2 linked regions of the Schizosaccharomyces pombe genome follow. The gene in region 1 interacts genetically with each later gene. Each region holds a gene or a part of one and is shown on either strand. Other genes may lie near its edges.

What was found. A genetic interaction does not mean that the proteins touch.
Region 2: of alp31 (region 1) and alp21, extra expression of one is lethal in a mutant of the other (dosage lethality), as found in Schizosaccharomyces pombe (one study listed by BioGRID).

The regions. Positions count from the first base shown.
Region 1 is NC_003424.3:3,374,301-3,381,228, reverse strand, and holds alp31 (tubulin-specific chaperone cofactor A Alp31), read right to left. Parts: upstream 4,124-6,928; 5' UTR 4,082-4,123; coding exon 4,013-4,081; intron 3,950-4,012; coding exon 3,863-3,949; intron 3,711-3,862; coding exon 3,507-3,710; 3' UTR 3,329-3,506; coding exon of another isoform or gene 3,271-3,328; 3' UTR 3,226-3,270; coding exon of another isoform or gene 3,208-3,225; 3' UTR 3,161-3,207; downstream 1-3,160. Other genes in the region: SPOM_SPAC8E11.04C (palmitoyl-(protein) hydrolase), read right to left, coding at 1-30, 86-133, 245-329, 401-473; SPOM_SPAC8E11.05C (uncharacterized protein), read right to left, coding at 1,941-2,957; SPOM_SPAC8E11.06 (uncharacterized protein), read left to right, coding at 3,135-3,160, 3,208-3,225, 3,271-3,328; SPOM_SPAC8E11.08C (uncharacterized protein), read right to left, coding at 5,411-5,713; SPOM_SPAC8E11.12 (uncharacterized protein), read right to left, coding at 6,225-6,533. UniProt on the Schizosaccharomyces pombe protein: Required for the maintenance of microtubule structures and cell polarity. Beta-tubulin-folding protein; may have a regulatory role in the tubulin-folding pathway.
Region 2 is NC_003424.3:2,385,822-2,394,189, reverse strand, and holds alp21 (tubulin-specific chaperone cofactor E), read right to left. Parts: upstream 4,255-8,368; 5' UTR 4,105-4,254; coding exon 3,950-4,104; exon of another isoform or gene 3,912-3,949; coding exon 3,643-3,911; exon of another isoform or gene 3,601-3,642; coding exon 3,501-3,600; exon of another isoform or gene 3,455-3,500; coding exon 3,179-3,454; intron 3,136-3,178; coding exon 2,400-3,135; 3' UTR 2,247-2,399; downstream 1-2,246. Other genes in the region: TOR signaling pathway transcriptional corepressor Ifh1, read left to right, coding at 1-1,820; protein Cbp8, read right to left, coding at 4,517-6,457; SPOM_SPAC22H10.08 (uncharacterized protein), read right to left, coding at 6,749-6,868, 6,925-8,283.

The DNA of each region.
Region 1 (6,928 bases):
TTCATATCCGCAAAACTGTAGATATCATACCTAAAAAAGTTTTAGCGAACATTGTACTTTATCATCAAGCAGAACAATTACTTACCATGCTGGCATTTTCATGCCATTGTTGACGGTAACAGGGATAGATGGACTATATACAAAATAATTAGCATCAAAATACAAAGTATGTAATGCGAATTCTCATTCATTCATCACACATTACTTTAGACAATTGCATGATTAAATACATTCTTTTACTTACGCATTGGGAAAGATCCACTTAATATGCTTAAAATTCGACCACGTATTTGCCATAAAAGACCATCCTTGTCCACTATCTCCTAAACCTAAGATAAATGTGTTACTATTATGAAGAAAATATACGATATGTTTGTCTCAACATTATCATCGTTCATACCATGAAGGAAAATCACAGTGGCCGTATGCGCCACGCTGGGATTAATTATTACTGAATTGAGTTTGGCAGTCATAATGAAACGTTTTAAAAAGTACTAAGGGAATGGAGGTGTTGCAATAGGGCAAACACCAGTTTTATAAGACAGGTATTTGTATCAAAGCTAATTGAATCAAAAGCGAAGGTATGGTGTAAATATATAATATTTCCCTTATGATTTTTTCTTTTGCAGGCGAAAAATAATCGTAAAAAATGGTGTTAGCGTTAATCCAAGCGATATATGTATATCTTGAAACTAAGAATCCAAATTGAGTGCTGGCTATTACAATACGTTATCGCAATTTGTATACTAAGAATTTTGTTCCAAAGGTTTTTTTTTTTTGTTTATAAAACACAAAATTAGCTTGACTAATTTTTTTTTTTTTTTGTTATTTATATTGCTAGCCAAAGATGCTTTCTGCATTTCTTCAACCGCAGAGTCGTACTATACAATCCAACCACATTACAAAAATAACTTTTTATTTTCAATGGGAAAGTATTACTTGAGAATAGTTATAAAACAGACTGCTTAAATCTGTCAGCTGAAAACGCTTGTGCCAGAACATTACTCAATATCAATCGCGTATTCATATTCCTAGTACTGCACCAAAATCCTTTTATAAAAGCAATCGCTATACTTAAATAGTTTAATGCATTTGTCAAAATAATGGCTGGTGAATTTAGGCAATAGATGAATTGCATGTAAATCTCAAAAAAAAAAGGTTAAACTATCCATCAAGTAAGAATCATTTAGCGTCTGACAAACATACCAATAATATACAAAATTTTGCAGCTCCTATATACGATGGTTCTCGATTTACCTGTAGTAACAATCAAATTTTTATAGTCCTTTCCTTGCGTTTTTAGTCAAGAAATGCCTTAGCTTTTTTTAGTCGATAAGCCATCTAATTCCATAAGTCAATTAATTGTTTGATATTACTAGGAACGTCCAGGTTGTAAGAGAATAAGGGTACTAGTAAATCCAAAGCATTCCAAATGCAAGTCTAACGAATAAGTATAAATAAAAATAAAATTTCAACTTCCTGCTTATAATTTTAACAGTTCATTCAAGTTGTTATCAATTTGCCAGAAATGTGTCGACAAATGTTCTTAATGTTTTTTTAACGATGAATAACTTAAGTACCAACAGTGAATCAAAATTTGCTCCTTTTCTTTAGAGATAATTATGGACTATTATGTAAATAACCAAGAATGGCGCTTAGGTTAGGATACTGTTCCATTTATATTTACAAGTGGTTGACATAATATTGATAAACACATAGAGAAGAGTCATTAAAATATTAGTCATTAAAAAGAAGAGAAGAGGCAAAAGAATCGAAGAAGACAATACAGCTGAATCACAAGTCAAATCTAATCACGTTAGACGTAACAAAGGTTCGTCAGCAACAAAAATAAAACGCTTCCGTTTTATTTTACTCCCGTAAAATTAAACAAGAAAACAGCAATTCAGGAAAAGAGGTCGGTAATTAAAGATATAAAGGGATCATTTATGAGAGGAAGTGCTCCTTCTAGAAAGGAATTTACGACCAGAGTTTCTTAAACGTTTGCTATGTTGAACTAAATCATCGACAACCGTCTCATATAACAACTTATCGCTAAGAGCTGAATCCCTTTTATCGGTCCAATATCGAGCAACTTCAACAGCTTGCTGCAGAGTTGATTCTAGTAACTCTATATGCTGTTGTAAAGACTCATGAGATCGGTGGGTTAATGCGTCTTTGTTTATGCTGCATAAACGACGAGCAGCTGAATAATCTAAATATGGTTCATCCTCAGATTTTGGCAACGTCACGGAAGACAATTCTATTGTGCGTGAAGAATTGAATGATCCCTGGGTAGAAGGAGTAGGCAAAAGTTCATCCAAATCAACAGGAAGACCCATAGTAACTAAAAAAATATGCCTGATGCTAGACCTCAGCCAATCTGGCCGTTGCAGCACGGGCATTTCAATCAGTTTTTGCCAAAGAGACAATATACGATCCGGATCCAAGGAGGATTCTTCAATTGTTTTCGGAGTTTCAGGTAGTCCAAATACAGAATTGACAGCATCTTGGAAATCATCTTGCCAATCACCCATAAATGTACAGATGGGGATATCATGTTCAAATTCACCAAAATCGTCAAATTCGTCAAACTCTTCTTCCTCTTCAACTTTTTTCTCCATTTCATTGTCTACAATGCCTGATTGGGAAATACTAGCTTCTCTATTAATACTAAGACTCTCCGCCCAAACAGTTGATGTAGCGTCAAGGTCAAGTTTAGATGCTTCAACGACTTTTTGGTTTTTAGAATCGTAATCCTCTACAGGATTTAAATCATCTTCTTCAAGAAGGTGTGGATCTATTTTTGTATCAGCTCCCTCTTCGCCATCTACATCTTCCTTCAACGATGAAGATGCAGAAGGGTCAATATTTACTTCAGAGTTGCCGCCGTCAGATTTCTTCTCTTCTTCTAAACCCAACACAGGTGATTCCCTTGATAATATTGGCGGACTTGCCATAGGTATACAAATGGAACGTTTTATGCTCCCAATCTGTTTAATGTTCACGCGAAGTGTTTCTTTCTCTTTGCTCAGATGGTAAGTAACGTCAAACAATGAGCTGTACAATCTAACATAGTGATACGCTACATTACACTCACAATAAAAGTGCAAATAAATACTAGAGGACGACTGTCTATGCTGCTTGTTAGCAGGAACATTTGGTTGTTTTAAAATTGTTTGATTGTCCAGCTAAAATTTAAATCTCTAGTAGAATAAAGGGGAATACGTATGTTTTTTTATGTGAACAGTTTCACCTAACTGGCAAAATTAGAATAGATTGGCGAAATCTTAAAAAAGATTTAAGCATGACTTGGATAATCCTTAAGTAGTTGGGATTGTCTATTATTTTAATGGATTGGAATAAAAATCGAAGACACAGTACAGTTGAGTAGGATAGCATTGAAAGGGTGGGTAAAGAATGATGAACGTAGAACCTTTTCATGATCGTCTTTTGAAGGGTCAGTAATAAATTTTAGCAGGGATCTACAAAAGCTAGTAAATGTGTATTCAGTGGTACCCATTCGTGGGGAAATTCGTTTGCTCTTTTTCAATTACTTCTTTTGCTTTTTCTAAATATTCATTTGCTTGTTCAAGTTCAGGAGTTCCTTCGTATGCACTGTCAGAAGAAATGGATTCCAAGTCGTTCGTCGCATTACGAAGACGTACAAGAGCATCTGGCAACGCCTCAAGATGCTTCTTCAAAACAAATTTCTAGAGGTCCAGAATGTCAGTACTTTGATTATTTTTTATTTTAAAAAAGATACGCTAAAGCGGAAACCACCGAAAAGTATCTTCAGCTTGGTAGAAACATCTTCTAGCACAACACGTCCAACGTTTATATGGTTTCAACTAATGCAACATACCTGATGCTCAATTTCTGCAGAATCTTCCCCATTATCAATTTTACTTTGTACACGTTTCTCGGCCTCGTTAATATCGATATGAGCCAACTAAACAATTGTTGAGGTCAGAAAATTCCATCTACAAAATCGCGATCCAAAAAGGAAACTTACTTCTACATCTTTAATAATTCTTTTAACGACATTAGTTTTGATGACTAAGCTCCTAACAGTATTTGACATGGTAGAAAATAAAATGGACGCGATATGCAAAGGAATAATGTTAGGTTGGATGATTTTCCTTGACTGCAGTGTAGGTAACGTTGGAATACAAAGGAATGCTAATGTTAGCGTGTGGTGATAAGTTACGAGAAACGATTAAGAAAAGCTAGTTCTAGTTAAGTTTTCAATTTCTTTTAAAGCCCTTTCCTTAAATTCCTAAAAAAGGGTATTTGATTAAATGTTTGCATCAAGTATCAGACTAGTTATTGATCGACAAACGTTTCATTCCTATATTATGTATGAGATAAAATTGCTCAGTTATTTCTAAATTTACGATTCACCGATACTTGTACCAAAAATTTCATGCTTTTATGGATGCTCAATCATATGGGAGGTTGAGCTTTTCGGGATTCAGCTATATGAAAATTTTCTAGCGCGTAATTCATTATATTTAGACGTAATTGCTTTTACAAATATTTTCCAAAACAAAAATTTCTGATTCTCCGTACACACAGTTATCTCCCAACAACCGAAATTGTTAAAAGCACGATTTCATATAAGGATAGGTTGATTGCTAATCACTCGAACCACAGTCTGTTAATAATTAGTCAACTTTGCCTAGCCAAAAAAATTCAGCTTCTATCTTAATCCTTGGAAAACAAAAAATAAAAAAAGGACCTAATACCCTCTTTCAAAGTAGATCCTGTACAAGATATTTAGTCTACTCAAAAAGCCGGTACAACGATATTAATGTCAACAGACTTCGGTATAATGGGACCAGTCTTCAATGTGAGGATAATAGCTAAAATCCTTTACTCTATATAGGACTTTAAATGGATCCTTGAATATTATTCTGTTTTCTAAAATGATTGATCATATTCTACGCCACAGATGCATCAAAAATTCAAATCATCGCTTGGGAGATAAAAGAGTGAACGCTTTTTCATAATCGAACAGCAACCTTTCGAACCCTAGTAGTCATTAGTATTTTAATCCACTTTTTTTTTTGCAAAGCTATGAAAAACAAAGACTGCAACCTGGTATAAGCATTTTAAACATATCGTACTTTGCGTGATCTAACAAATTAATCTCTATCTTGTCAGTTCACAACTTTGGACAGATACAGATGATGAATTTCGACAATTAAACATTTGCAAACAAGTCAAAGCTCAACATACAAGCATTCACTGTTTAACGCTTTTTGAACTTTCTCATTTCCTGAAACGTTTGTTTACAAGCTGATATAAAAAAAGGGATTGAATTGAACGGCTCAGTTGATATAGATTAATTTAAAAAGTGAACTCCGTTTAGAAAGTATCGCATAAGTTAAAAAATGGTATTCAAACAAAGCTAACAAAAACGAAACAAATCGCATTTTCCCATGAAAAATACAAGGTTGTTCGGAAAACTGCATATTTGAACATGATGACAGCCAAGAAGAAAAATAGAAGGATTTATTAGAATTCCCTTAAACTTTTCATTATAGTCTTTTCGGTACGGTAACAACCATATATACAATCTATACATTTCTTCAGACCATTCAAATCTTAAAATGGAGCTCCCCTTCAATTGAAGAAACGGAAAATTTTTTCTTGTCAAATTTTTACAGACTACTAACCTACTAAACAGAACCTCATTAGTGGTAAAGTCCATTTTAATACTTCTTGCTTATTAATTCATTATTTTATTGCCGTAAAACATAAATTATCCTTTTATTTTCTTCTTCTTTTCTTCCCTTGTATAATACTCATTTTTCGCCAAGTCTCAAGTATTCCAGTGTTCGATTCCGACCATGGAAACGATCTCGGTCGGGTAAAATGAAGACTCTGGTAGTCTCCAGGCTATTGCATCTCGTTCAGATTTGGGTTGATCTTCTGGAACAATGCGGGCAACTGGTAGAACGTTAATGAGGGAACAGATGAAAAACTGGAAACCTAGATGCGTGACAGGAGAATCTGGTGTTCTTTTTTTTTGAATAAGTATATTTAATAGTTAACAATATCGAACATGGTTTTAGTTAAAAACCATGCAGAAACTACTGAACGCAATTAAGTTTAATAGTTCTTCTACTTACACATTTTTTCAACCGTTACTTTACTAGTATAGTCTGGAAATATATATATATAGTTATTAACATGTAACTATTACCTTTTTTAGATAATATTTAAAAAGACATTCTTCCCATCATCCCGCATCTTGACTGTACAATATAATACCGGTACTTAATATAATAGTAAGACGAACAGTGATTTTGAGCTTCTTTCGGATCTGATATTGCTATGGGTGGAAAAAGAAAATTTCGGATGGATTTAGGATTAATGCAGAAGAGAATTTGAGGTAATTGAGTATCATTTTCAAGCGAATTTTTGCAAAACGAAATTGTGTTGCCCTTATAGAACTCGCCAACTTTTGGTTCCTCTTCCGAGTCCAGTTCTTTAATCGCTTGCATCTTGATCGAGAGAAGCGAAATCATACCCCAAATGGCCAAAATCACTTGGCCATTTGTTAATTTAAGCTACCTTTGTCGTCCGACGCTCCCCTTCTTAATCATGGGATTTTATCCGTACTTTCTCCCCGGATTTAAGAGAAACTCGTAGTATTTCACGAAAAAAAAAGAAAAGATGAAATGAGTTTCCAATTTATAATAAATGAATTGTCATTCTCACATTTATGAATTGGATTTCTATATTTTGCGGGTTACACTATTTTGACTCCTATGTGTGTAGCCTAGTTTCTCGCAGTTATTCATTCAAACTTTCCACTCAGCCATCACAATACCCGATATTATCGGTTTGATGGATCTACTAGTGTCACTCGAGTAAAACGACCGTTTTGTCTATTTGCGCTATTTTTTTCCTCCTTTGCAAA
Region 2 (8,368 bases), 990 kb from region 1:
AAAAGTTACCAGCGGAATTGAATTTTCCCGTTGATTTTGACAAAATGCCAACATTCATCTTTCAAGAAGAAAGACAGAAATTGGATTTGCCTTTATCTGACAGTGAGGAAAATCAATTTCATGATTTTTCTGATTCAAAATTATCCCTGGGATTTGAAATCGGTAGATCGAAAGAGAAATTTGTCGATGAAAAACCATTTTATTCAAATAAGGAGCCTCTGAAAATTAATTCTTGGAAAAAGTCTTCCTCACATCCCAAGTCGAAAGAGGTATCCAATGGACTTTTAAAAGTTTCTACTCCCCCTACAGAGTTTGTAAAACGAGAAAACGCAGGAATTAGACGACGTTCGTCTAATCAAGGATCGTTTGCGTTAGAGGCACCGAAAATTTTAAAAAGAGATGCAATGTTTAAAGAGAGTTGGAAAAATAAATGTTTTATTTCTCCACAAAAGGATAATCAAGGTTTTTCGAAAAGCAAGCACCTCTCAACGTACGAAGGTGAAACTGAAAATGGCTTTTCGACATCTACGGAAGAAGAAGAGGAAGAAGAAGAAGATATAGTTAGCGCTTCCTGGGTTGATAATTTGGACATGGACATGGCTTCTTTTAATAGCCATCGTGAACGTTTTCTTACCGAACATGTAAATATGGATGAGCGATCAGATGATGATTTCTTACTGGGGCTTATTAGTTCAGATTCTAGCGTTGACGATCATGACAATGAACAAGATGATGTTGACTTGATTGGATGGGAATGCTTCTTTGATGATTCTTCGGACGAACTCAACACTTTATCTCACCAAGCAGATGATGAAGGGGATACAACTGATGAAGAAACACCAGAATTACAAAACAATAAGTTATTAAATCTATCTACTCCTAAAAAATCTTTCGGTCAAACACCCCGAATCAAAACAGAATTATCGGAATCACCTAACTCACAACGTACTCTACTTTCAGCTGTCCCTACTCCGCTTGAGCTATCAGCTGAACTCGCCTATAAAGAAGATCTTACTTCTTTGGCTTCTCGTGCAAATATTTCCGATAATAGTACTGGTTTGACCCCAACACTAGCTAAAGCTACCTTAGCTCAACCAGTTTCTACAGTTGTCTCTGTAGCATCTTTTGAATTAGATCCAAGATTAAATATAACCCAACCAAAGCCGCCTGTAATGGGTACCTGGGCTAAGGAACCGAATCATTTGATTGGTATTATTGATGGTAAACACTCTCATTCCCTTCACCATGATAAGTTTGATGCATGTACAAAGGGTGAAAACACTGCTAACAACGGTTATGGGCCTCAAACTCTGAATGAAACTTCAGAAGAGCCATCCCTAGATGATATTCTTGATACATCTCTTCTGCAACCTTCTACACAAACTGATCTTCAAGAAGAAAATTCAGTTTCCTTTGCACAAGAAGATAATTCATTGAGTCGCTGGGAAAAAATTCCTATTGGGACGTTTCGAAAAAATCAGTACATAAAATCTATGGCACGTCGCGATGAGTTAATTCGAGATGAATGGTTTACCTTAGCTATCAAAACACGTGAAAAACGCCGACACAAAATTAATGCTACTGGTATGACTACCACAAATTCCGTTCCTTTACGACCAAAATCACGTAAGGCTCGTCGTGCTCTCAAAAAGAAAGCACGTAAAATGACTTTTCGTCAGATGCATTCTGATTTTCAAAGTGCGCTTGAAGACGAACACAATGATGGCTCTTACCTTGATAATGATTATGAAACAGTAGGGTTGGGCTTAGGCCCAGAATTATCTCCCCTATTTGAAATCTTAGAATCTTCTGGCTATTAAAATTTTTGTCTCCTTTCTAATTTATTTTATAAGTGTATTTGGTGTGCTGAATTATTTTCCAATACTACGATATTGGTTTCTTATTTTTTCGTTTATCAACCTTAATATATTTGGACTTTGTGTCTTTTCCTGTATTGAAGAATAAATCTATATGACATGGTTGATCACTTTGCTTTCATTTGGTCTTTGAACTTGCTTTGTTGCAACTATGTAATCAAGGATTCCCTATTATCACCAGTTCCCTGATCTTAGTTGACCGTGGTGGATTAGTTTGTCACACTTGACGTGTATTTTTTTTTTCTATTGGTTCAAGGTTTTGGCTTTGGTTTTCTTTGTTTCTTAATAATTTTATAATTGTGTCGAACCGATTAAATAACTTAGAGGCACTTTTCATATATGGTATATACATGGAATTAGTATATTTAAAGAGTTATTGAATATTAAATATAAAAAACTTCTAATGACTAATCGCGTAAACTATAATACTAGAAAAGAGTTCGCTAAAAAGATTTTTCTGTATTTTAAAAGAAGCCGTAAAACTAGAGCATCGATTTTGGTCCTTCAAGTAATAACTTGGCTTTAGACGTTTCCACTTTCCTTTGCATATACATCGATAAAAGTACAAGTAAAAGGGAGTTCAAAGAGACGCTTTTGGTCGTCTCTGACAGTCTTTGGAGAGAAGCTTACATCTCGTTCGCTTGAAGCAAAGACAAAAGTAGACGTATGTACTGGAATTGCGAAGTGGTATGAAATTAAAGCTTTTATATCTAACAGTTTCCAATTATAATGGAGCTTTAATAACATTGTCGCACCTGAGTTAATTGACGATATTTTGATGCCCTTTGTTATGCGATTTTTAAGAATGCCAGACGTCCAGTCATTGATTGAAGCTTCCAAATGGAATTGAATGCTTGGCAACTCGTGAGATTTCCATATTTCCTCCCAGAATGGCTCTATTTTCGTAAGCTCTTCAACATCCTTAATTTCATTATCAATCACAAGCTTCCGGATGCATGAAGTGTAGTACAACTCAGCATCCAAACGCTCATTAGGTGATATATTCACATCATTCAATTTTACAAGAGAAGGAATTCGCGCAATCACCAGCAGTTTAGCTATATCAGTAGGTTTATTAAAATAAGAAAGTGTTATACGCAGGTGCTTTAAGTTTTCTAATGTACGAAGATGATCCAGAGAACGAATATCCCTAATGTTGTTTTCTGATATGTCAAGGAATGTCAATTTGTGTAAAGTGTGTACAGGTAGTTCTGCAACATCAGCGAGGGAGGTAGAAGATAAATTCAAATTGTTAATTCTTTAGATTAGAAACCTAATTCGTATTTCTCAAATATACTTACCCTTGGAACACATCAACTGCATAGCCATCAGCACTATAAAGATTGAGATTATTTGCAAGACTTAACGTTTGAAGGAACTGCAGATTTTTAAAAGATGTTGCTTTTGATAAAATTATTTCATTTGCTTCAAGGTAAAGTACTTCCAAACTGGGAAAAGTCTCTGTAATCCATTGAACATCTTTACTGTTTAGGCCACATCCATTCACTGAAAGTTGTGTTAAATGAGGAATTAAAAGAACGGTATTTGAGCTAATAAAATTTGAAAATAAGTTTGAACTGAAAGAGTTAGAATATACGTGTAGAGATAAACAAAAACACATGCTCTAGAGTTAAATTTCTTAATGAAGGAAGCTGGGAACACAATTTAAGGATTGGAAAAAATTCATGAAACAAATTTCTCGATAAATCTAAGTCGATAACTTCTACAAATTCCGTTAACATTTAGTTGAAAATAAGTGACATACCAGGTAGTATTTTAGAATACTCGTACTCTATTTCAATATCTTCAATCCTATAATTGTCTAGAATAATAACGCGCAAGCTTTTTAAATCTCTTTGCTTGCTTTGGATTTTTTCGAAACCACAGAATTCTACCTGTTTTCCACTTTTAAATTCAACAGAGGAAGGTAGGGGACTTGAATATGAATATTTTTCGTAAAGTGCTTCCAAAAATGTTCTGCATGGATCAAAAGGGAATCCTTTGTCTACAAATATTTTTCCTTCTTTTACAATTCTAATAGTTTAGTTTCTTGTCGTCAATAACAATCTTACAATGGTTTTTTGTTTCTCCAACACGTTTTAACAAACTGTTTTGCATTTACGTTTTTATCAAGTATGACTTGGTATCGATCATTGTTTCCTTCGATGGTTAATGTTACTAAAGTATTAGATATAGAAGCCCTAACCATTCCAGTGGATATATGCATTATTAATCAACGTGGGAAAGAAAATGGATTGCTATAAAAATTTGGGCAGTTTAAGTTTTTTGTTTCTTTCAAATTTTGTCTTTTATCTACAACAAAAAGTTTTAACCGCACTTTTTCTTTGCGACATAGAAGTGTTCAGTACGTAGTGATAATATAGATGGCATCAGATTTGTTAGGAAAATAGTTGGAAATACTGCTTATTATTATACGGGTTTTGATTCTAATGTCGATCTCATTTTTAAATGTGCTGCTTTATTAAGTCTCTCAATGTTAATGTAAATAATCTATTGTTGGCTGCATACCTCGTAAAGTACAACTTGATACCAATGAATATATTAATTATCAAACAATGCGTTTAAATGTATCAAGCACCAAGCACGATGTAGATTGGAAGCAGCACTATCGAGAATTATCACTTTTTTAAATGAACTGTACATAAAGGAAATGTTGCTTTTTGGGGGCGAGAACTCCATCCTGGGAGAATTCGCAATTGTTGATCTGCAACCCATTTGAGACTTCTAAAATTTACCTCGTGAATGGCAAAAAATTCGATCTCTCGGAGAACTTTGTCATTTGATAACAAAGGAAAAGAAATTATCTTTAAAAAACGAATTGCGAATTCAGTTCCCATTTTTTTGCTCAATATCGAAATCAGAGTTCTGGTCCAGTCGCTGCTATTACGGAAACAATCAACAATGTAATCAAACTGAAGCCCAGATAACCGTATATACTTTAAAGCATAACTTAATTTATTTTTTTTTAAACAATAACAAAAAAATCTGGGCAGGTTTTTTGGCATTATTTCGATTCCTCGTTTTCTGTAAAAGTCTTTTACTTCGAAGGAATTCACACCTTGTAGTAATAATAAATTAATCTTATAACGACTAACTTCGTTTAAATTTTTCTTTTTGTTTATATAATAAATACAGGCATTCAAAAAACCTTGATTCTCTTGCATTTCACCAAACATCTTCAAAAGAGAGAAAATAAAATTTTCCGGAATTTGGCCTTTATGCTCTTCCCAATTTTGATTTATTTCTTGAAAAATTAAACGATCTTTAAAGACGACAACGTAATTAGCGAGTACATTTAGCAGGCTATAGCAATTTAACAAAAAAAGCTGACGAATAGGTAAAACATGCTCCAGTAGTTTTTTGCAATCTTCTTTCTTTCTTAATAAAATAAAACGAGAAAGAAAAATTGCTTGTACGTCAGCCAAATCAGATAAATTGTAGTGATCTCGTATAATATGTAAATATGCGGAATAGACCTCCATAGAGCCTTCTACTATATTGGAAAAATTTTTGAAAAAAGAAACAAAAAACTCAATTTTTACCGGCCATCCCTTATTAAATGAGTGAATGAGCCACATTTTAAGAGAGCAGCTATTTTTAGCCGAAAGGAGAGATATAAAGACTTTATCCAGAAACTGTTCAGATGGAGTTATCCTTTCATTATCAATATGCTCCATAAGCTGAAAAAACGCACGTAAACGTAAAAAAATTTCAGCCTTCTCCATCTTCGAAAAAGCAATAGACGGTGGTAGCATAGAATTAGCTAACATGCAATGGCTCGAATTTCCATGGAAAAGACTGTAATCTCTAATGAGAAGCAAGAAAAGTGTGCGGAAATCATTAAAAGTTTTTGAATTAAGTGAAGAGCGAATATTAGCGCTTTTCAGCAGTTTTTCAACTTTGTGGTACGGTCCATCTTTTCGAAAATATATAGAAGAGAATGAACTGTCATATTTAAACAGATCAATTGTTTGCAAAATTATTTTTAAAGAAGATTTTAAGTCAGTTCTACTCAAATTTACAGTAGATACGCAAATATTCAAGGCAGCTGAAATAATGCTCTCCAGAATTCGCTTTTGCCTTTGCAAATCCGGATCTAAACGAAGCACATTATATACGAAATTTACCAGTACCTTTTTTTCGTCAGAATATTGTGAGAAAAGCAATTTTGAAAAACCATTATCTTTCGGATTTGAATAATTCGTAAACATTAGCAACTGATAATACAAGTTACTATTAACCTCAAAAACTGGGTAAAACGGATGCAGAGCTTTCAGACATTTGTTATATATTTCTGATAACTCACGTTGATATAGCAGGTCATCATCATTATAGTTTTCATAATCTCTCCAGGCCAAGGTAGAGTCTTCAGAATACTTTCTTATTAAAGATTTGAATTGTAAACTTTTTTTTGCAGAGAAAAACCGTCTGCTTAATGAAGTATTGTCTTCAAAGTACGCTTTGCAAGTGCAAAAAGAAATGTATAAGGGTTTCGACTTGACAAGAAAAGCACTTGTATTTGACAAGTTTTTTGACACTTTGCTAAGGGTTTTCAACATAAACGCATCCTAGGTTTAATCCTTTATCAAATTAATCTCCAAAGTATTCTAAGTATAAACCGATCAAAGTATCTCTAAATACAACCAACTTCAATAAAATAAAGTAAATAAAGGTTTTTGGTACGTGTATTTATGTCAATCTTTTGAACAATTTACGCGAAACGTAATAAGATTTCCTGATGTTGGCAGTTGTTGGTGGGAGCCTATTACACGTCGAGAATTTATATACATTTTTGCAATAATAAAATAACTGATGCTTAAAAGATTGTATTTTAATCCATTACTAAATAATTACTCACCATTGAAGCTAAGAAATCCGGACATGAGAAGTACACGATAGTAATCTTTTGTGTGTATGTTGTTTGCCCAATTCCAGGCACTAGTCAAACGTCCATCAATACAACTGCCAGCCTAGAGCTAGTTAGTAATTAAACAGATATATATATAGATAGATAATTTTAACTTACATCAAACCAATTGTCTGCACCAGATCCATCAAATCCGAATCTCATAAAATCGGTTAAAATAGTCTTTTTTAAATATTCTCTGCCTCCAAAAGCTGTATCAATGTAGTTAAGAAGAGAATGGTCATTTAAAGAATCTAACTCCTTGAACAATAGAACCAAGGGTGTTAAAATCCTTGGCACTTGCATATACTTGTCTATAAACAATAAGGCATTTGGAACAGCGGTATCTCCGAGATGGATTGTTGAACTTCCTATCCATGTTTCAGACTGTTCTTGAGCCGTCCGCAAAATCCTTTCCATCGCAATTCTAATGTTGGGACAAGGCTGCATTCTGTGTATTCCTTGATTGTTATCAATTAGCTTATACTCCATATCTGGGTTAGTTAACTCCAGATCACTAAGAGCCCATAATGAAAATATTTCTCCCATAATTAAAAGCCAAAGATGCAAACTTTGCACAACATAATGGTACTGTTTGTAATGACTATGCTTTAGTCTTGAGCCATTAATGGCATCAATAGCAAGAGTAAACTCATCGTCCACGGTATCTGGAGAAAAATATGCTTCTACCAAGCCTATGAGTTTGGCAATTGGATCACGATTATATCTCAAGTAACTGTTACTATCAGCAATAGAGTAGAGACACCATCGTACTTTCTCTTTTGTAATTTTGCTGCTGTAATACTTTTTTGCAATATGTTCAACAGCTCTTTCTTTCGCTTTAATATCTTTTTGAATCGCTGAGCGTGATCTATTTTCAGCGACTATTTCCATAGTAGCAATTTCGGCATAAGGATCTTCTAATGCGTTCAAAGCATCCCTTTCATTCAAAAATTCATAGACAGTCAAAATGGGTTTAAAGAGGTTAAATCCAAGTGCGTCTTGAATTTCTGGTCGCATAGAATCTTGCACAAAGTACATCAATTTCCCATAAGTAGACCCCAGTCGGTTGGGATTTAGCACTTTATAACGTCGACCTATTTCAAAAATCTTTTTAAAAAATTCGGCATGTTGTTCAAAATTTTTATGCTCAAGCAATTCTTGTCCAACTTTATAATCATAAGCAACCATGATACCCGACAAAACTGCAGTAATTCCTTTCAATTGCTGAGCCAGTCTTTTCGCTGGCGACGAAAAGCTTAGGGTATCAACGCTGTCGGTATAATCACTCACATCCAATGCAGCAGTAAGTAAATGAAGAAGCTTTCTTTCTTCATATTCAAGTCTCAAAGGAATCACTTTGGCCCTTTGCAACAACACAGGAGAAGAAAATTTCTTTTCAGGTGATTCATTACCCGTTTTAGATTCATTGGGGAGAATGGATGACAAATACAAATTCCTTAAGGCTTCAGCGTCCATGTCTATGTAAAGAATACGTTCTCATGAATTAATCATACAGGTATAAATTAAAAGGAGGAAGTATTAAAGTGAGGGAATCTTTAAA